Linked DNA regions of Saccharomyces cerevisiae S288C. The main gene of each other region encodes a partner of the protein of the gene in region 3 in a complex. Links are inferred from orthologs where the notes say so. Each region holds a gene or a part of one and is shown on either strand. Other genes may lie near its edges. The genes, in order: TAF9, TAF5, SPT20 and TAF12. A codon is read from its position in the direction of its gene.

Region 1 (4,284 bases), on a different chromosome or scaffold from region 3:
TGTCAAGCATAAAAGGGGTATAACCTTCAAGAAGTTTGAAGACCAATTAGCTGCGGAAAACTTCATTAGTGGTATGAGTGCGCATGATTACAAGCTCATGAATATATCCAAAGAAAGTTTTGAATCTAAGTATAAGCTTTCTAGCAATACCATGTACAACAAGTCTATGAACGTTTACTGTGATGGTTCAAGTTTTGGAAACGGCACGTCATCTTCAAGGGCAGGTTATGGTGCATATTTTGAAGGAGCGCCAGAGGAAAATATTTCAGAACCCTTATTATCGGGAGCTCAAACTAATAATAGAGCTGAAATCGAAGCAGTATCAGAAGCTTTGAAGAAAATCTGGGAAAAGTTAACTAATGAAAAGGAAAAAGTAAATTATCAAATCAAAACTGATTCAGAGTACGTAACCAAATTATTAAATGACAGGTATATGACGTATGATAATAAAAAACTTGAAGGGCTACCTAATTCTGATTTAATTGTTCCTTTGGTGCAGAGGTTCGTTAAAGTTAAAAAGTACTATGAGTTGAATAAAGAGTGCTTCAAAAATAATGGTAAATTTCAGATTGAATGGGTAAAAGGACACGATGGTGATCCAGGAAATGAAATGGCAGATTTTCTGGCGAAGAAAGGAGCATCTAGACGATAATGCTGTTTTTTGCTTGGCTTCTTACTGGACCTGTTGTACCTGTAATAGAAATATATATTTTATATCTTTTGCATACATATACATACATCAGCTATTTGGTTTTTTAACTTACCCGATAACTATCTATAAGCGTGTCACCATGATATTTGCCTGAACCTCGTCCACAGTTGATTGTGTTTATTTTTACTTTTATTCATAGCTATTTGATTTCAGTTTCAGCTAAACGTTCAGCAAGATCATCTACTTGTACTTCTAGCAGTTCCTTTTCAAGCCTTTCCGTTTCAATTTCTTCGAGTTTTTCATCCTCGTCCTCGTCTTCCTCGTCCTCGCCTTCCTCATCTTCACTATCGACCTCTTCAAAATCGTCAACCTCTAAATCATCAAATTTGCTTTGGAGCAAATCTAAAGCATCAGAATCTTCATCTAATCTGTTACCATTTATTTCTAGCTTTTCCAATTCAGGTAAATTTCCCTTTTCCATAGCCGGTAAGAAGGATACTTCAATGGTTTCTTGAGCCATTTCATTATATTCGAATTTCAAGACATGCAAATTGGGGAATTTAACTTCGGTGAATACTTTAAAGACTTCATCTGAACCAGCAGTTTTCAAAAGACAGTCGTTCAAATTCAATTCAAATAAACTATCCTTCCATGTAGGCAAGGCCTTAGCAAGGATCAAAGAAGCATGTTTCGTGAAAGTATTGTCTTGAAGATCCAAGATTTCCAAGTTTTTCAAGTACTGTAAACCGTAATGAATTAGCGTGGCGACACCTTTAGGCCTAATACCATTTTGGTACAGCTTTACGACTTTCAAACCTTCGGAGTGGCTTTTCAAACCCAGAGCTAAGTAGACTGCGGATCCATTCTCTAATCTATTTCTACCACAGATAAAAGTTTCCAAAAATGGTTTGGAAGCAGCTTTCTTATTTTGAGCGAGATGAAATAGGGCCTTACCAATCCTTTCACCAGCAAAAGGGCCCATACCATTGTTACTTAAGATCAAATGTTTGATATTCACGGCATGTGCAATGTAATCTTCTAGTAACTCGATTGTTCTTAGCCCAAACGCATTATCAGAAAGGTTCACAATCTCCAAGTGAGGACATTTCAACAGAACAGGCAATAAAAACTTCAACGAATCAACGACTTCGTCAACCAACCTCGAAGTGTATAAGTCAGCAAAATTTACTTCAACCAAAGATTCCCTGACCTGTGTATTTTCAGCGATGCATTTAGCTAATGCTTCCGAAGCTTCAGTACCGATTGTATTCCCTGAAAGGTCTAATTTGGTACAGGTTTTCAAAGCTGCCAATTCTTCCAGGTATGGTTTGATATCGTCACTGGTTGTTAACTTGAGTGCCTTCCCAGAGATGGAGTAAACTTGTTCTTCCTCGTGCTGAGGAACGAAGTGCAAGGTAGCCATAGCTAAAAATCTGTTTCGAAAGACAGCCTGTTAAAATGGCCTATATTCACCTTTTACCGTGATATTATGCCTTTGATCAATATCTTCCTAATAAATTTTTTTCCATTAATTGTCCCACAACGTGCATAGTGACATGCATTCCATGACCAAACTAAGAGCTTTAAATCAAAAGTAGAATTTGACATTATGAAACAACACGACAACAAGAAAAGACTAGAGGACTTCACAGACCATTATGAACGGCGGAGGCAAGAATGTTTTGAATAAAAACTCAGTGGGCTCAGTATCAGAAGTTGGTCCGGACTCAACACAAGAGGAAACGCCACGAGATGTCCGTCTTTTGCATCTGCTCCTCGCATCACAGTCGATTCATCAATATGAGGACCAAGTACCGCTACAATTGATGGATTTTGCACATAGGTACACACAAGGAGTCCTTAAGGACGCGTTGGTTTACAACGACTACGCTGGCAGTGGAAATTCTGCCGGCAGTGGATTAGGAGTAGAAGACATACGGCTTGCCATTGCAGCGAGAACACAATACCAATTTAAGCCTACGGCACCTAAGGAGCTCATGTTACAGTTAGCTGCGGAAAGAAACAAGAAGGCATTACCTCAAGTGATGGGTACGTGGGGTGTCAGGCTTCCCCCAGAAAAATATTGTCTCACAGCGAAGGAGTGGGACCTTGAGGACCCAAAGTCTATGTGAATGCACCGCTTATATATCATAAGTACACTAAATCAAGTTCTTCCGGAAGATGCGTCATGTAGAATGCATAATAGAGTAATATACACTAAATAATGCGCTAGTCGTGTATCGTGATCATGTTCTCTAATGTTCTTTTTCCTGCCTGCCCTTTCCTACATGGAAAGTTAGAGAAATGAGATCTACACGATAATGTAGTAACAAATGGACCCTTAAACATCTCAATTCATCTTCTTGAGAGCACTTTCCGCGCTGTATTGATTTTTAGAACGTGAAAAGGATAAACTGAAAACTTGAAGTCCTAACCATGTTGTCTCAAACCTCCATACCGGAAGTGAAAGAAGACGTGATAGGCTATGCGCTACACCAGAGGAGAGCCAGAGTGGGACAATTCCAAGACTTGGGTCCGCCTGATTTAATTACTTTGATCAAATCGTTACCTTCATCCTCGAGCACAACAACTGCTACTGCCTCCGCCAACGATAACGGAGCAACTTCAAACATCAATGGACAAGATCCTACGACCATAGTTACGGAGTTACATTCCCATGACAAATTAAAGGGGCAGATCGGCACTTTCTTTTACTGTATGGGTATCGATACTTCGGATCCAACTTCTATTACAATCTTTGCCAAAAAGATAACCGATCTTTTCTTAGACACGCCCCAAATTTGGTTTGGTAAGAAGAAGCACTTTCACGTATCGAAGATTTCTATCAGTTCTTGGAATGCGTTTAGGAAATATGATGTTAACATTATAGTTCACATTCCAGGAACTGTGCAAACCTACATTATAAATAGCGACGGTGAACAATCGCAACTTCCCTCCGTGGCAGAAGCGTCATCTGGCCGCAACTCACAGGATTTAAACGTCAACATGATTTGGGCGGAAACGTTTATGAGTGGTATTGTACGTGACATTATGATTATGAAAGATAATCGTGCGGATGGAGAATCCCAGAATTTGGTAGAAACACTAATTTTCAATCCATTTACCTCGGGTGAGTTGGAAGATGTTGCCAATAACTTTATTAAACTGTTCCCCTTGGTCTATGAAAAAGGTGTTTATTTAGATGCACCTACTCACGTTTTAAATCCCTCGTTAACCAATAATTATTTAGTGGAAACTTTAGTGGAAATAGTTAGGTTAACTAAGAGTTTGGAAGCATGTCGTAAAATGCTCAAGAAGTTAATAGAAATTCATCCAGAAGCAGTAATAATATTAATTCGTGTTTATTTTGCGTGCGATTTAGAGATAGATGCAGTTGACCTGATCAACGAGCAACTAAATTCCCCCTCTTCGTTCTTAGCCGACGATTCAAAGACTAGCCATATCCAGCTAATCTTCAAATCCGAATTATTAAGTATTCAAAGTGAATTCTTACTGGATGTCAAGAGAGATTACAAGCTTGCTAAGGAAGTAGCCATGGAGGCTGTTAACTGTGCACCAAACGAATTTAAAACTTGGTATTTATTGACTAGAATATACATTAAACTAAACGA
Region 2 (6,648 bases), on a different chromosome or scaffold from region 3:
TCAGAAAACTGAATTTAGTTGATATGGGACCGCTCCAAGGTAGGAGAATACTAGATCAAGTAAAGCAACCGCACTAGTGCCTTTTTCAAACAAGGTGGTTTGATGAGGAGGCTTTCTACAATCCTAGAAATATAAGACATCTGTCAGATTAGCCGCCGTTCATATGGTTTCAAAAGGTTGCGAATGGAGACAAACGTTCCTCGTCCCAAATTAGCCAGACGGAACAGGACAATAAAGGTGATAATGTAATCCATGACTTCCTCTATTTTAGACGGGACTTTTAGCATCCTCTAAATATTTTCAACCCATACATGTCATCAGCATCGGTGAACATCTTTAATAGTATCGACAACTTGGCTCACGTACTTCTCACCGTCAAGTGCGATTTCCGGGTCATGCAATACCTCGTCTGGTTCTTGATCTTTATTCGTGGCAGAATTATGCTGATCCTTATGAGGAGGGCTCCTCAGCTTGGCATACTTTAGTCGCTGATTTCTTTCCCTCATTAATCGCAGTAGTTGAGCGTGCGACTTGCGCATTTGCGTGAGATTGCTCTCAAAATCTCGTGGGAACCCGTCGTTGACGATAGGTTCTTTCGCCATCTTCTTCACATCATCCAGTGTATCGATTTCAGACCATGATACGTCTTGCGTCTCCGTAGGTGCCAGGTTTGAGTGCATTGTTATACGGCTACCATTTACGCTTCTTTCGTATGCAGTATTACCCCTACTAATGCTGGTCGTTAAGGGGTTTAGTGCTGGAGGCGTGGTTAGGTTTTTGGTCGGAAGTGCGTTGGAACTGCCCATTATAGAGGCAGTGGAATCTGAAGATCCCTTTCTTTTATCTTTGTCGCTCTTTGCCTTTAATTGAACCAGCTGAGGGTTTCCTTCCTGGCTACTAGATTTCCTTCTGTTGGTGGAATCCGCGTCGCTTACTTTCACCTGGACTGGTGGGGTTTGCTTCACTCCCATTATTTGTCTTCGTTCGTGCCAGCAACATACATTTCATCTTATTTCTCTGGAAGGTTTTTACAACAACCAGTTACATTTTTCATTTTTCTGTTCTTCGCCTTTCTTGTTTTGGCCCCGATGACTGAGCGAAAAAAAAAAGGCTAAAGAAGACGCTATGATAACCGCCGAGCAGGTCAAGTACGATGTCGAAAAAGCATCTAATAGTTACATATCGGATTAGGTTATACTTATTACATATCACTTCCATGCTGTTATTTTTTTCAGTGTGAATTATGGCCTGAAAGCACCTCCTGCAAGGGCTAAATTGCTTCTGCTGAACTTGACCTTAAAAACAGGCGTCTTTTTGGTGTAGAACGACGCTACTAAATCGCTTGTAGGTATTACTGTTCTTCTGCGACCATATTCTTTTATATCTTGGTTTATAGATGCAGTAACGTCACCCAAGTATCCAATGAATGGCTCATCTGGTTCTGCGCTTGGCTCAGTAGTGGCCTTTTTCAAATCCCATACACGGACTGTATGATCGGCACCTCCACTAATAAGTACGTTTCCCTCTTTGCTATATGATAAGGAATAAATGGCATTCTTACCATGGCCACGCATTTGTTTCAACCTTTTGCCGGTACCAATATCCCATACATTAATAATACCATCTTCGCTACCAGTGGACAACCACCTACCATCTGGACAAACAGCAATAGAAATGACGGGCGCAGTATGTCCAAGAAATAACCTAACCGAGTCGCCTGTAGAAACGTCCCACATTCGACACGTCTTATCGCTGGATCCCGTAAACACATAGCAACCGTTCGGATGAAATGACACACAATCAACATCATTTAAATGTCCTGCAAATATTCTTAATGGATATATGTGATCGCATGACCATAACCTTGCGGTTTGGTCGTGCGATGCAGTGGCGAAATAATGGCCTAGCGGGGAGAAACTAACATCCCACACAGGGTGATTATGGCCCTTATAGCTTACTAGCGCGGTGTGAGTATCCATGGACCATAGCCTGACGGTTTTATCTTCAGAACCAGAAAGTAAATACTTATTATCCGGACTGAAACTTGTTGAATATACTGTACCACTGTGCCCCACCAAAGTTTTACACGTTGGGTCTTCATCCTTGTCGTTGTTATTTAACGCGATGTTAGGATTATTAAGTGATGAGCCGTCGAGTGACCAGATCTTGATATAACTGTCTTGAAAGCCAGCAGCCGCTATCCTACAATCATCACTGAAATCTAAACATGACATGTCTTTATTTGTGTTTTGGAATGTATACATGCACACGCTTGGTAAGGCCAACTGTAAATTATCTAGTTTGATGGCATCACGAGATTCCTTGACCTTCTGAATCTCCAACTTCAAATCTAGTGCCGTCTTTGGTGGTAAAGGTAAAATATCACGTGCTGGCGAAGATAAATTGCTGTCTTTTTTTTCACCATCCACCTTCAATTCGCTCTCTTTTTTTTCCTCATCTTTGGCGATTTTATCTTTAATTTTGTCTTTATCATCGTCGCCAGTATTATCCTTAAATTTTTCGTTATTCATAGCTTTATATTCTTGCAATAAGGTTCTATTGTTGGCTCCACTGTAATTGTCACCTGCAGTTTGTTGATTTAGTTGTTTCTCTTGATCATCCTTAATTTTCAATTCAGTTTCAATCTCCTTAACAAACTCCTCGTCTTTTGGGAAAGGTCCCAGCTTGACAGGAACAGAATTCATTTCTAAATTTTGTTTACCATTTCCGTTTTCACTATCACTGAGAACTTTTATTCCATCAGCCAATTTTTCCCTTGCGGTTACTGATTCTACAATATTTGGATCTAGGTGCTGATTTATTACACTAATTATTAATGAACCTCCAATACTCTCATTTTCATTCAAAAAATATAAGAGAAGATTTAAAGTGGTTTTAGACATAGTAATTCTGTACTTGTGAGATTGGAAAGCACTTGCGACCTCATTTTCCTTGATGTGATCTATAGAATTGACACTGAAAAGTCTATTAATTTCTGAGCCATGGAAGTCCTTAAAATCGGGAGAAAATCTATCAAAGAAACGACGGGCGTAAACAGGATTTTTGGCCACCAAATTTAAAAATAAATAAATGAATATTGGGTACATGATGTAGCTTAGTTCCGGCTTGTAAATTTCCAGCGACGAATCTACCCAGTTTTTCAACATTGAATATGCACGTATATAATTTTCAGGTGCGTTGAGCCCTTCTAGTCGCCCGCTAGATACTATACCACCTTCTGCATCTCTCTTGGATGACAAATTAGTTGGATTGCTTATGGGTTTAGCTGTCTTCCCGGGGTTCGGAGGAATTGATGATTGTTCAGGAAATTTACCTGTTTTAGTATTTGCTGGTGATTGTTTGTTTTGAGGTGTTAGTGTACGTCCACTCTCGGCTCTCAGCATGGCCTCTGTACGGTGGTATCCCTTTTTATTCAGGTACTCTAGGACAATTCTATTCAAGTCTGACGCCGAAAACGGACCATTGGACCTCCCCTGCTGTTGAGACTGGCCTTGACTCTGTTGCTGTGGCTGCTGGCCGGAATTGGCGCCAGCAGCATTATTAGTTCGTTGATTCTTTACTGGTTGTGGCTGATGCGTGCCATTTTGATTCTGATTCGTACTTTGCTTCTGTGACATTCTTATTTTTCAAGTATCTCAACTTGAACCCGGAGTTTCTCGTATCTTTTCTCCTTCTCTTTTCCTACCCTTATGCCTGCTTTATTGCTCTTTCTGCCACTTTGTAGACTTCATTTGAAATCTTGAAACTTTTTTGCTTTTGAACAATTCATCTGAACCCGTAAAAGATGATATTTACAGCTACTTTTACCCGGCTAAGGGGAGAATTCCATTCAACGGAACGAGCTCTATAAGACGTTCTCTAACTGCATGTAGTGAAATATTTTGAACCATTTGATATGCAGATACTTTCACGGTGTTGCACGGCTGTATAATATACAATAGGCCGTTACAGCAGAACACAATTTTTAGTTTAGACCCAACAAGGTGAACCATACGAACTGATATGAGGTTTCTTTCAAAAAGGATACTGAAACCTGTACTTTCAGTGATCATTCTAATATCGATTGCCGTAACCGTTGTTCTTTACTTTTTAACGGCGAATGAGAACTATTTGCAAGCAGTCAAGGATAGTGCCAAGTCCCAGTATGCTTCTCTCCGGGAGAGCTACAAAAGTATTACAGGTAAAACTGAAAGCGCTGATGAACTTCCTGATCATGATGCTGAGGTGTTAGATAGCATAATGGACAGGCTACACGAGCCCCTTTATGAAAAGGACACTTTTGACCCGAATGAAGTCCTTGCTGAAAATAAACAGTTGTACGAGGAGTTTTTACTTCAAGAAATTTCTGAGCCAAAGGTGGACAATTTGGTACGTAGCGGGGATCCGTTAGCCGGCAAGGCAAAAGGAACTATTTTGAGTTTGGTGAGAAATTCTGATTTAGAGGATATAATTTCTTCTATTCAACAGCTAGAAGAGGAGTACAATAAGAATTTTGGATATCCCTATACCTTCCTTAACGATGAGGAATTTACTGACGAATTCAAAGATGGAATAAAAAGTATTCTTCCTAAGGACCGTGTAGTAGAATTTGGCACTATTGGTCCAGATAACTGGAATATGCCTGATAGCATAGATAGGGAGAGATACGACCAAGAAATGGACAAAATGAGTAAAGAGAACATTCAGTATGCAGAGGTGGAATCCTATCATAACATGTGTCGTTTCTATTCTAAAGAATTTTACCATCATCCTCTGCTATCTAAATATAAATATGTGTGGAGATTAGAGCCAAACGTGAATTTCTATTGCAAAATTAACTATGACGTTTTCCAATTTATGAACAAGAATGACAAGATTTATGGGTTTGTTTTGAACCTCTATGATAGTCCGCAAACCATCGAAACGCTATGGACTTCAACTATGGATTTTGTCGAGGAACACCCAAACTATTTGAACGTCAACGGAGCCTTCGCATGGCTAAAAGATAACTCTCAAAATCCAAAAAATTATGATTATACTCAAGGGTATTCAACTTGTCATTTCTGGACCAATTTTGAAATAGTCGATTTAGACTTTTTGAGGTCAGAACCTTATGAAAAATATATGCAATATCTTGAAGAAAAGGGAGGATTCTACTATGAAAGGTGGGGTGATGCCCCTGTAAGAAGTTTGGCACTTGCTTTATTTGCGGATAAGTCAAGCATCCATTGGTTCAGGGATATAGGTTATCACCATACTCCGTACACGAACTGTCCAACTTGTCCAGCAGATTCAGATAGGTGTAATGGAAATTGTGTACCAGGCAAATTCACTCCTTGGAGTGATCTAGACAACCAAAATTGCCAGGCAACCTGGATAAGACACTCTATGTCTGAGGAAGAGTTAGAAATGTATTGAAGACATTAGCTTTGAGAATTTGTGCCGCTGCTTTCGAGAACGGCATCACATCTGGGGTTTTATGATTTAATTTAGGACGCACATAGATAGATATATATTATGGAATTAAGAAAAGTTTATAATGTAGCAACCTAAAAATGTTACAGGTGAACATTCATGGAAAATGAAATGTTTCTCAGCCAGTAGATAGTATTGTTGAAGGTATTATTGGTTTGAGAAAGCTACTCCTCAAAAATGTCACTTGATAATATGGAATTATAATGTCGTTATATTTTCAATCATTTCAATACAATATGGTAAACCGAAATCCAAAAACTTTACAATATCTCTTATCTATTGTTATTCGACATTCTTCCCGGGCCTTAACGGCTTCTTAACTAATATTACCCTAAACGGACAAATGGCGAAGGGCCCCATTCATTTACGAACAGGAAAAAAAGAAAGTGACAATACAGCCATAATTTGATGTACCATCTTAATCAGCATATGTTTTCACTAATATACTAAACCCATATGGATGCACGTTGAAAGCACTGTGTGAAAAGAAATTGTCAAGAAAGCCATATAAATGCTGAAAAACTTCAAACTCTCAAAAAGAGATAGTAATGGGTCGAAGGGCAGAATTACATCCGCAGATATTTCCACACCTTCTCATGATAATGGGAGTGTTATAAAGCATATTAAGACAGTACCAGTGAGGTACCTTTCTTCATCTTCCACCCCAGTGAAAAGCCAACGGGACTCTTCACCAAAAAACAGACATAATTCTAAAGATATTACTTCTCCAGAGAAAGTTATAAAAGCCAAATACAGTTATCAGGCACAAACTTCAAAGGAACTATCTTTCATGGAAGGTGAATTTTTTTATGTATCTGGAGATGAGAAGGATTGGTATAAAGCTTCAAATCCTTCTACTGGAAAAGAGGGTGTTGTCCCCAAAACCTATTTTGAAGTGTTTGATAGAACTAAACCTTCCTCTGTGAATGGATCCAATAGTTCAAGTCGGAAGGTTACAAATGATTCATTAAACATGGGATCGTTATACGCCATTGTTTTATATGACTTTAAGGCAGAAAAAGCTGATGAGTTGACAACTTATGTGGGAGAGAATTTGTTTATTTGCGCCCACCATAACTGTGAATGGTTCATTGCTAAGCCAATTGGTCGACTTGGAGGGCCCGGCCTTGTTCCTGTTGGGTTTGTTAGCATCATAGATATTGCCACGGGGTA
Region 3 (4,302 bases):
ACAGGAATAGCAGTGGAAATGGGAACTCTTATAAAAGTAATGATTCGCTAACATATAATTGCGGCAAAACTTTAAGTGGAAAGGACATATACAATTATGGATTGATCATATTAAACCGAATTAATCCTGACAATTTTTCTATGGGCATTGTTCCCAATAGTGTCGTAAATAAAAGAAAAGTATTTAATGCAGAAGAGGATACACTTAACCCACTAGAGTGCATGGGGGTAGAGGTGAAAGATGAATTGGTCATTATTAAGAACTTGAAGCATGAGGTCTATGGTATATGGATTCATACAGTTAGTGATAGACAAAATATCTACGAACTAATAAAATATCTTCTGGAAAATGAGCCAAAAGATTCTTTTGCTTGAGCACAGAGGTGAGATGCCCAAGTGAGAATTTTTTTTAAATAATGATGTACTTTAATACAATATATATATATATATATATATATATATATATATATATATAAGGAATGATAACTCTATTTAAGTAGATTATGACATTGTAGTAGAAGAGGGCGTGCTACTTGCGCTCTGTTTCTTCTTAGTCATTCTTTTCTTTTTAGGAGCTGGTGTACCGCTCTCGCTTTTTTTTGCATTTTTTCTAGGTCGCTTAACCTTTGGTTTATCTAAATTATTATTATTATTATTATTGTTACTGGTGGCATTGTTACCACTCCGTTTATTTGCGTTTTTCATGGCTCCACCATTCTGTTGTTGCTCCAAGGCCTGCTGTTGTCTTTGAAGTAGCTGTTGCTGTGGAGTCAATGGTGCTGTCATCGATATTCTAGCGTTGAAGGGGGTTGGATTGATGTTTGCACTTAAAGCCTGCTGTTTTCTTTTTTCTTTATTTATTCTCCATTGTTCAATAAATTTCAGCCTGCTAAATTGATTATTATCGTTACCCATGGTAGATCCCACTGCAGCCGCAGCCGCTGCCGCTGCCAAAGCTACTTGATTGCCATTAGCCAAACTGTTATTCCTTGTATTTGATGCGGAATTCGAAGTTGAGGACGAAGCTCCACGTACCCCGTTGGAACTGGAGCTAGCAATCTCCATCGCATTCTTGGTTAACGAAACAGCAAACGTGGAGTTGGTTATCGTTGTTGTGCGTTCATTCATGATCAACATCAACTGTTCATAATTTGAACTATGTTGCGGAAATTCATCGCGTTCTTCGATATGCCCTACAACGCCCTTCGTGCCTTCTCTCGTAGACTCAGCACGATGTTCGTGAATGAAGGATTTTTTTTCACTATCCCAATGAGGTTCTGAAAAAGCTGTTTCCTCCAACATGTCTCGGTGCTCATATGGATTTAATGGCACACTTAGTGACAAGTTCCTCTTGGTAAGTGTTAAAATTTCAGATTCAAACTGTTGATAAATGCTATCAGAAAACCTGGCATTATCTGCATAAGACATCATGTCATAATACGTCGTCAAATCATTAGGCTTCAACAATGTTCGATATACTCTAGGTCGTTTGAAGGATGCCTTCTTATTTGCTGTGTTTGCGCCTGTATTTGCCACACCACTATTAGGTTCGGATGGTTGTTGAATCTTGGAATTGTCCTGTGTGCTATTATTATTTGAAGGGGAAGAAGAGCTGTTCAAATTAGGCTTGTTCTCTTTGGGGGTGACATCAACTGTATTAGTATGGTCATAAACCTGTAAAATAAGATTTCCTTCGTAAAATTGGATATTACAGTCCCTTAAGACTTCCATAATAGCATCAGGAATCCTTCCTCTTGCGACGTACTCTAAAAATTCTTTCAAAGTTTCGTTATTTTTGGTTAATATTAAACCGTCACTAGTCAGCTCGGGTTGCTTTTGCTGCTGTTGTAACCTGCTATTTGCAGGAGCGCAAATCTTATAATTATTCTCATAAATATGAAATTCAAAACTGTGTAAATATTGCTCATATTTTTTCAAAATTGAGTCTGCATCTTCCACAAAATTGTAAAGTCTTTTAGGTCTTTTGTTTAAGGTCATAAGCATTTGATAAAACTGAGCCTCATAGTTTTGGAGTGCTTGCTGTTTTCTCTGTTGTTCGAGTAGTCTTTGCTGTAGTAATAATCGTTGTCTTTGCTGCAATTGCTGTATTTGCTCCCTGGTTAAAGTCCTAGTACCTTCATTGGCATTACTATTACTGTTTGTCCTCATAACAGGATGATTTACATTTGCTACCGCTGGGTTCATAGGAGGTGGTACATTAACTGGACTGCCTGGCGAACCCATATTGGATGGTGTTGCGTTCACAGGAATACCAAATACATGGGGATCGTTTCCTGTCGGGCTATTGGCACTCATCCCTGAAATATATAGGCGCAAATTAACCGTAACTATTCCTTCCTAATCCTCTTGAAGGCTACTTTTCTCATTCTTTTATCTCTGCTGGTCGATCATCTTAACACTTCTTCATGATTAATGGTCGTCAGGTATCACGAGCGGGTAACAGAACTAAGCAGTTATAGCGATCCCAGTTTTACTTTAAAGATAGTTAGTTAGTTATTAATGGTGCGGATAACAAGAACTATTGTCACTCAGAATCTTATACAGGTATGGACATGGAACATTGGGTCATATACATAAGAAATAAATTATAAAGAAGGGTCGAATCAAACATAAGCGGAGAATAGCCAAATAAAAAAAAAAGATGAAAAGAAAGCTATGTAGCTTTCCACATGTCTTGCATACCAAGGATAGATGTGACAACACCGGATAGCGCAACATACTCTTCGTTGCTAGACAAGTACCCTAGGTTGTTGAGGACGATGAACGAATCTGCAGCATCCCAGAATAGTCTTCTTAACGCGGTGTACCTGTCTTGGTATGCCTTCCCTAGTACCTTCTTGTGATCCTCATGCTCATCGCCTTGGCTTTGTGATTTTGCCTTGACAAACGCAGCAATCTGGGCATGAGATGTTTGGATCTTACGAAGATCCATAGCCAGACCACTTAGGAGGCCGAACAGCCAACACCAATTGGACCAGCGAGGTATTTTCTTACCGGTAAGAACGGTTACAGGAATCACTTTCAAAATTCTCAAAAGATTGACTTGATCTAACGACAAATATGCAGCAAAGAAGATGTTTTTCAAAACATTGCAGACTCTAACGACGTTGTCGCTGGCCAACTTGTTATCGTAGAATTTAGCAGCTGCCTGCAAGTGGTTTAAAGGCTTCAGAAACCTCAGAAATTTTCTGACTGTGGTAAATTGAGCTTGTAATTGCCTGGCCAAGAGAGATGAGTTCTGTACTGCTAAAAATCTTGCTAAATACTGCAGTAATCTGAGAACCTTTTCTCTGCCAGCTGAGCCATCTAGAAATTTGACGAATCTCGTCACGGAGGGATGATATACCAGTGTATCACAGACCATATTGATTATACTATTACTTGATGAAGTCTTTGAAGTAGTAGATGGAGACAACGGTTTTTCAGTTGTTGGAGTCACTTCCCTTTTATATCTATAAATGATATACCCATCGCTTCGGGTTCTCCGAGATAAATGCCGACGCGTAGTGAAAATCGCAATGGAATTGATGCCAACTTTGTTCTTGGTATTATATTTTTACAATAGAAGGGCAAGCATAGAAAGGATGGGTTACTATGACATTGATGATGTCCTAGCAGATGGGACAGAGTTTCCTTGTAAATTTCAATATGATATTCCTGGTCTTGGTTATTTGGAAAACAACCCAGGACGACCCATAACGAAAAACACTAAACTAAGCCTGCCACTATGGTTAGCAAGAATCCTTGCAATTGTGGGTGGTGACGAAGCCTTGGTAGATGAAGAACCTGTACCTTTTGTGGAACTCCTGCCACCAGATATGTTTTCTACGAAAGTTATGAACGCTATAAAGACCGATCCGGTGGCTCTGGACTTGCATTCCATAAATTCGCATTTCTTCAGTCTAGCCATAAAATGGATAATGTTGTTTAGCGAAAAAGAACTGGCCAATGTCGTTAGTGAGCTACTTTTGCAACGTGCCCAAGAACTTAATCATCATGCTAGTAGTTTATCGATTGATCTCAATGCAGACTCGACCGGAAAAAATTCAGCGAACACTAATATAGCAACTAGCACATTTTTACTGAAACTAGAAGAAATGGAGAAGGAGATATATAAAAAGTCTCATGAATCTTATAAGGACACGAAAAGGTGGATGTTTAAAAAATAACACATCTTTTTCTTTAGAAATACACTATATAAAATAACTATAAAAAAAAGGCAACAGTATAATATTAAGTTTCTTTAAAAGTCTTGATTCTAACCCTCGCCTCTTCTTAGAAC
Region 4 (5,477 bases), on a different chromosome or scaffold from region 3:
CATAAGGGCCCTTCGGCCTTGGGTAGATCAGAAACTTGCAGAACGGGGAGCTTATCAAACTCATCCTTTGATATTCCTTTTGGTCTATTTAATAGTCTGTTGAATCTCTCCATTGCAAGCTGAGCAGCAACAGATATGAAGCTGTTCAAACGGTCTTGTGGAGTAGACGCAGGAACATCACGAAAAGATAAAACAAGAGCACCGTCGGGTTGATGGCCCCCATTTCCGATGCCAAAGCTGGGCCCAGTACCGTTGGCAATCGTGCTACCGGATGCTGCGCTGTTGTTTTCGTTATTATCATTATTAGATATATTGCTCAAATGTGCTAATCTCTCCGGAGTGAAATAGGAATACTGAATGGAAACGGTTATGTTTCTTGTTTGCTCAGCACCACCATTGAGTGGACCGGAAGCTGCATTTGAATTATTATTATTTTCAGCATTATTTGGTGATGTATTTGTGCCTCTGTTTTGTTCTTGACCACTTTCACTCATAATGAACAAAAGCTGAGGTTACAAGACTATGAGAGAAAACAAAGGGGAAAAAAGGGAGAAACGAACTATCCTGAAATGCTAAATAATTTCTATCTATAGTAGCTTCACTAGAGGATATATATGATAAACTATATTTCCTTCAATATATAGTTTTTAGCTATTATTTCATTATTGATTTGGTGATACTAATGCAATGTAGTTATATGTAAAAAATTCTTTCATATTTTTTGACAATGGCAGATAGAATGTTTTACCCGGCTTTTTGCGTCGAAGTATATAATTGTTGATTAAGAAGCCAGTAACAATAAAAAAGAACAGTATTATTTATTTTACGTTAAAAGACGCTTTTCTTTCAAGTAATGTACAATGTTATACCTCCAGATATACATTGCAACTTTTAAAGTCTAGTAAATGCTTATATGGAGGGAGGGATTTATCAAATGTGATGAAAAATAGCTGTAATGAACCTGGCGAAAAATGGAGGATTCAGATTGTGTCCTCCGTTTTCTTTTCTCGTAGATGAACTTGAGGTGGGAGATAACATTCCTGTTGAGGAAGTACTTGAGGTAGATTTTGAAATAGAGAGAGCTGTCGTACTTGTTTGGGTTTTTTGGCCTTTGGAGCTGGAAGAACTTGTTGCCGAATGAGACGTGGAAGCAAAGTACGATATACTGGAGTTAGCTGCCGTGGAAAACATGTTGCCGCCGGAGACAATACTTTCATATGTAGACCAAGTGCTTGAGTAACCAGGTGCTTTAAGAGCACTTGGAACCGCGCTCTCTATAATCTCAATGTATTCACCGTCGTCGCTGAAGTTAGCCTGAGCCATTGATATCTCCATATTGTCCAGATCATATACCACGTAAGTATTAGCTAAGAAGTTATCACCCAAAATAATGGTCGGATCTGACTGCGGTGCAATACCTAGTATACAAATGTTTGAACGACTATCTGTGACTAGCTGAAAATCGCTTAACCAATTAGAAAGATAGAATCCACCAAAATCAAAGATGATGCTACTCTCTTCTTCCATCTCTTTGATACAATCCATTATGTAGTAACCATATGCAGAAGAGTAAGTAGCTCCGACCTGGTCGGCAAGCATTTTTACCAGCTCAGTTGGCATATACGATATGGTCGTACCTGAATCTAGCAGGACTGGGATCTTTGTAGTGGTTAGGGTTGTCAGATTGTCTTCTTTATCCCCTTTCGACGTACCTAATCCTTGTAAAGTGACTTGGAATTGAATTGGATCCTTGTAGCCGCGATGCTGCAAAGTATTAATGATGGGAATTGTGTATAGGTCGCCCGCATATTTTCCATGATCCACAGCGCCAAACAAAATGGTACCATGTTTCGAATCAGAATCATTTGCGAATAAAGAATAAGCTGTTGATTTTATTACACCCGAATTCTTTAGCACCATCGGAAAGTTATTGTAAGTGTAGCTTTTTTGTACAGAGCTGAGAGAAACACCAGAATAAGTTGACTCCAAGCCAGGCAAACCAATACCCAAGACACCAACTGTTGAGTTTGTTTCGTTTGCTACAGCAAATGATAAACCCGTAATGTTCAAATCGTTCAAGCTCAATTGATCATGGCCCCAGGTACCAGATGCAAAAGTCGTATCACCATAGGCGATCGAAAATTCTGTATTATTGGAGTTGAATGTAGACGACTTAGAGGTATTAAATGTCCCGTATGTAGCGCAGTCAATTAACTGTGATGTAGAAGCTGTACTATCAAAAGTAGCAGTGGCTTCGCTGGTAACTATAGTGGTGTCGTAGCTAATTTCAGTAAACACACTCTCAACCACGCTAGCCAAAGCATCCTTGTTTACTTGTTTAAAGGATGAGCCAGTGGTATCCTTCTTTTTAGTGGAACAGTATGGGTTGTCTGAACCCGTGACCCATAGATCAGAAGAACCAGTGTCGACAAGCACAGTAACTTTTTGAGGAGGGGTGCCAATATCTAATTCCACCGAATAAAAACTGTTTTGATTAGTCAGTTCCACCAGCTCGTAATCATCATCTCTTGTCATCAAACGCGTTCTACCTTTTGTATCATCCAAAGCGTTTTCAAATGAACTGCCGTATTTCTTCTGAAAATTCATTTTGACATAGACTTCATTACTTGGTAAGGATGGAAAATCTGTAACACCGGCATCTACTATTGAGCTGCAGACAAGTAATGCATCTACGACAAATGTGAGGACAGATAATTTCATAGAGCTCTTTCTTTTTCGTTTATTTTTGACGTATTTGCTCAAGCGAATAACGACAAAAGCTTGTTCTCTCGTTGATACTTTTAGCCAATTACAATTTCTTAGCAAGAACGAGTGACGCCAACCAAATTTCTCCCAAAAGTGATTATCTGAATAATGAAAGATGGTAGGAAATAAGGTATTGAAACAGGTTCAAAACTTTAAAAGAAAACTGCCAAATAAACTTTCTCGATGCGTAGCTGAAATTTCAACTTCAAAAAAAAAAAAACGCGTGTAACTTTCTACGTGCAAAACGATGTGTATGAATCCCGTCTTAATTAGTAAATAGGGTCTAGTAAGCGTAGCGAGGATGAATTAAATGCATTGTTGAATATGAAGAGCACCTTATGGTATATAAATGTACAATCTTGATTCATGACAGCTTTGCAAGTAAACGTATCAAATGAATATCACGATTTTGGCTGTATTACCCGGGCAGTATACGCGGCGAATTTTGTTAAAAAATGTGTTAGACTTAAGTCGGAGCAAATGAATAATGGGCATATATAGCGCATAGGTTCGCTAGTGTAAGACAGGAGACTGTCCAATAGCATTCGAATCATAACCGAATCTTTGCCAGTGTGTGTATAAAATACGACAATGTCTTCCAATCCAGAAAATTCTGGTGTTAATGCGAATAATAATACGGGCACTGGTAACGCTGATGCGATCACAGGAGCTCAGCAAAATATGGTACTGCAACCGAGACAGTTGCAAGAAATGGCCGCTAAGTTCAGGACATTACTGACTGAAGCAAGAAATGTAGGTGAAACTACTCCTAGGGGCAAGGAATTGATGTTCCAAGCCGCAAAGATCAAACAGGTATATGATGCCCTTACACTGAATAGGAGAAGACAACAGGCTGCGCAAGCCTACAATAATACTTCAAATTCAAATTCAAGCAATCCAGCTTCTATTCCTACTGAAAATGTCCCTAATTCATCACAGCAACAACAACAACAACAACAACAGACAAGAAACAACAGTAACAAATTTAGCAATATGATAAAACAGGTTCTCACCCCGGAAGAGAACCAAGAATATGAAAAGCTATGGCAGAATTTCCAAGTCCGTCATACGAGTATAAAGGAGAAAGAGACCTACTTGAAACAAAATATTGATAGGTTAGAACAAGAAATAAATAAACAGACGGACGAAGGGCCCAAGCAGCAGCTACAAGAAAAGAAAATTGAACTGCTTAACGATTGGAAGGTGCTAAAAATTGAGTATACCAAGCTGTTCAATAATTATCAAAACAGTAAAAAAACATTCTATGTAGAGTGTGCAAGACACAATCCGGCTTTACATAAATTCTTGCAAGAAAGCACTCAACAGCAACGAGTGCAGCAACAAAGGGTACAACAACAACAACAACAACAGCAGCAGCAGCAGCAACAGCAGCAACAGCAACAGCAACAGCAACAGCAACGCCAGGGTCAAAACCAAAGAAAGATTTCTAGTTCTAATTCTACTGAAATACCCTCTGTAACCGGCCCTGATGCACTGAAATCGCAGCAGCAGCAGCAGAATACAATAACTGCCACCAATAATCCCAGGGGCAATGTTAACACTTCACAGACTGAACAATCGAAAGCTAAGGTAACCAATGTAAATGCAACGGCATCTATGTTGAATAATATAAGTTCGAGCAAATCGGCAATATTCAAACAAACAGAGCCTGCCATACCCATATCGGAAAATATATCTACCAAAACACCAGCACCGGTAGCTTATAGATCCAACAGACCTACAATAACTGGAGGTTCTGCTATGAATGCCAGTGCTTTGAATACACCAGCAACAACTAAATTACCACCCTATGAAATGGATACTCAGAGAGTTATGTCAAAGCGTAAATTAAGAGAGTTAGTGAAGACTGTCGGAATTGATGAGGGTGACGGTGAAACTGTCATTGACGGTGATGTTGAGGAATTACTATTGGATCTTGCCGACGATTTTGTTACTAATGTTACAGCTTTTTCTTGTAGATTGGCAAAACACAGAAAATCGGACAATTTGGAGGCAAGAGACATTCAGTTACATTTGGAGAGAAATTGGAATATTAGGATTCCTGGTTATTCCGCAGACGAAATAAGAAGTACAAGAAAATGGAATCCCTCTCAAAATTATAACCAGAAATTGCAGAGTATCACATCAGATAAGGTAGCAGCTGCAAAAAACAATGGAAACAATGTTGCAAGCTTGAATACAAAAAAATAATTATGTTACCCACATTCTCCACTCTTCCACAGAAAAAATTCCTAAAGTTATAGTTCACATTGTTATATATGTATCTATAAAGCGAAATTTTTTAAAATTAATTGATTAATTAATATTTTGTATCTAAAGTGTTCATACTATATTATTTACTTAGATTATACATAATTAAAAAAAAAAAAAACTTTTTTTCCTTGTTTTCATTTTGTTTTTATTATTAAATATTAAAAAAAGTGTCCATAACATCAATGTTTTTTTTTACCTTTGATTAGTTTTCATTGGCGAAACCATAATCCCCGTTCCATTCCCATCATAACTACGCTCTCTTCTGAGTTGATCTTCAAGCTTGAACATCAACTGTCCATTATGATCCTTGTTAATATTTTCTTTGATTGGACTACTAGAAACACTTGAAGTTCCATCTTTTCTTGGTCTTCCTCTTTTTCTTGGAGACCTTTTAATTACCACGTTTTCATACTTTTTACCACCGCTGCAAATCATTC

The links.
Region 1: the proteins of SPT20 (region 3) and TAF9 are in contact, whole or in part, in a cryo-EM structure (PDB 6TB4), measured with the Komagataella phaffii proteins. The link is inferred for Saccharomyces cerevisiae S288C from one-to-one orthologs. Residues at the interface, in XP_002490759.1 of Komagataella phaffii: Tyr114, Arg117, Gln194, Leu195, Tyr198, Leu202, His241, Arg242, Pro249, Val251, Val264, His265, Glu266, His267, Arg268, Pro269, Ala271; in XP_002491029.1 of Komagataella phaffii: Lys99, Glu100, Leu103, Glu104, Lys111, Pro119, Trp121, Ile123, Arg124, Leu125, Pro126, Pro127, Glu128, Lys129.
Region 2: the proteins of SPT20 (region 3) and TAF5 are in contact, whole or in part, in a cryo-EM structure (PDB 6T9I), measured with the Saccharomyces cerevisiae proteins. Residues at the interface, in NP_014493.1 of Saccharomyces cerevisiae: Arg112 (codon at 1,982), Pro113 (codon at 1,979), Lys114 (codon at 1,976), Arg115 (codon at 1,973), Leu116 (codon at 1,970), Tyr117 (codon at 1,967), Asn118 (codon at 1,964), Phe119 (codon at 1,961), Val120 (codon at 1,958), Glu121 (codon at 1,955), Arg200 (codon at 1,718), Phe206 (codon at 1,700), Tyr207 (codon at 1,697), Glu208 (codon at 1,694), Gly209 (codon at 1,691), Asp289 (codon at 1,451), Asp295 (codon at 1,433), Tyr299 (codon at 1,421), Phe305 (codon at 1,403), Asp307 (codon at 1,397), Ile309 (codon at 1,391), Gln311 (codon at 1,385), Gln312 (codon at 1,382), Phe313 (codon at 1,379), Glu314 (codon at 1,376), Ser315 (codon at 1,373), Glu316 (codon at 1,370), Ile317 (codon at 1,367), Leu318 (codon at 1,364), Thr319 (codon at 1,361); in NP_009757.1 of Saccharomyces cerevisiae: Leu60 (codon at 3,461), Ile63 (codon at 3,452), Val64 (codon at 3,449), Tyr67 (codon at 3,440), Leu68 (codon at 3,437), Lys70 (codon at 3,431), Lys71 (codon at 3,428), Gly72 (codon at 3,425), Tyr73 (codon at 3,422), Glu77 (codon at 3,410), Leu80 (codon at 3,401), Arg81 (codon at 3,398), Ala82 (codon at 3,395), Glu83 (codon at 3,392), Ser84 (codon at 3,389), Gly85 (codon at 3,386), Arg86 (codon at 3,383), Thr87 (codon at 3,380), Thr89 (codon at 3,374), Pro90 (codon at 3,371), Gln91 (codon at 3,368), Asn92 (codon at 3,365), Ser95 (codon at 3,356), Pro96 (codon at 3,353), Ala97 (codon at 3,350), Thr99 (codon at 3,344), Gly102 (codon at 3,335), Lys103 (codon at 3,332), Phe104 (codon at 3,329), Pro105 (codon at 3,326).
Region 4: the proteins of SPT20 (region 3) and TAF12 are in contact, whole or in part, in a cryo-EM structure (PDB 6T9J), measured with the Saccharomyces cerevisiae proteins. Residues at the interface, in NP_014493.1 of Saccharomyces cerevisiae: Asn389 (codon at 1,151), Gln392 (codon at 1,142), Leu393 (codon at 1,139), Ile396 (codon at 1,130), Met397 (codon at 1,127), Asn398 (codon at 1,124), Glu399 (codon at 1,121), Arg400 (codon at 1,118), Thr401 (codon at 1,115), Thr402 (codon at 1,112), Thr403 (codon at 1,109), Ile404 (codon at 1,106), Ser407 (codon at 1,097), Val411 (codon at 1,085); in NP_010429.1 of Saccharomyces cerevisiae: Ala377 (codon at 4,486), Tyr378 (codon at 4,489), Arg379 (codon at 4,492), Ser380 (codon at 4,495), Asn381 (codon at 4,498), Arg382 (codon at 4,501), Pro383 (codon at 4,504), Gly388 (codon at 4,519), Ser389 (codon at 4,522), Ala390 (codon at 4,525), Asn397 (codon at 4,546), Leu404 (codon at 4,567), Pro405 (codon at 4,570), Tyr407 (codon at 4,576), Glu408 (codon at 4,579), Met409 (codon at 4,582), Asp410 (codon at 4,585), Gln412 (codon at 4,591).

What each region holds. Positions count from the first base shown.
Region 1 is NC_001145.3:740,661-744,944, forward strand, and holds TAF9 (chromatin modification protein), read left to right. Parts: upstream 1-2,310; coding exon 2,311-2,784; downstream 2,785-4,284. Other genes in the region: RNH1 (RNA-DNA hybrid ribonuclease), read left to right, coding at 1-652; GTPase-activating protein RNA1, read right to left, coding at 852-2,075; BCH1 (exomer complex subunit), read left to right, coding at 3,089-4,284. UniProt on the Saccharomyces cerevisiae protein: Functions as a component of both the DNA-binding general transcription initiation factor complex TFIID and the transcription coactivator SAGA complex.
Region 2 is NC_001134.8:614,886-621,533, forward strand, and holds TAF5 (chromatin modification protein), read right to left. Parts: upstream 3,639-6,648; coding exon 1,242-3,638; downstream 1-1,241. Other genes in the region: YBR197C (uncharacterized protein), read right to left, coding at 318-971; KTR4 (putative mannosyltransferase), read left to right, coding at 4,024-5,418; phosphatidylinositol-3-phosphate-binding protein BEM1, read left to right, coding at 5,987-6,648. UniProt on the Saccharomyces cerevisiae protein: Functions as a component of both the DNA-binding general transcription initiation factor complex TFIID and the transcription coactivator SAGA complex.
Region 3 is NC_001147.6:45,260-49,561, forward strand, and holds SPT20 (Spt20p), read right to left. Parts: upstream 2,316-4,302; coding exon 501-2,315; downstream 1-500. Other genes in the region: DCP1 (Dcp1p), read left to right, coding at 1-374; PEX11 (Pex11p), read right to left, coding at 2,674-3,384; DNA replication protein PSF3, read left to right, coding at 3,605-4,189; CTR9 (Ctr9p), read right to left, coding at 4,296-4,302. UniProt on the Saccharomyces cerevisiae protein: Component of the transcription coactivator SAGA complex. SAGA acts as a general cofactor required for essentially all RNA polymerase II transcription. At the promoters, SAGA is required for transcription pre-initiation complex (PIC) recruitment.
Region 4 is NC_001136.10:743,381-748,857, forward strand, and holds TAF12 (Taf12p), read left to right. Parts: upstream 1-3,357; coding exon 3,358-4,977; downstream 4,978-5,477. Other genes in the region: ubiquitin-protein ligase SAN1, read right to left, coding at 1-494; MKC7 (aspartyl protease), read right to left, coding at 931-2,721; DNA-binding transcription factor SWI5, read right to left, coding at 5,233-5,477. UniProt on the Saccharomyces cerevisiae protein: Functions as a component of both the DNA-binding general transcription initiation factor complex TFIID and the transcription coactivator SAGA complex.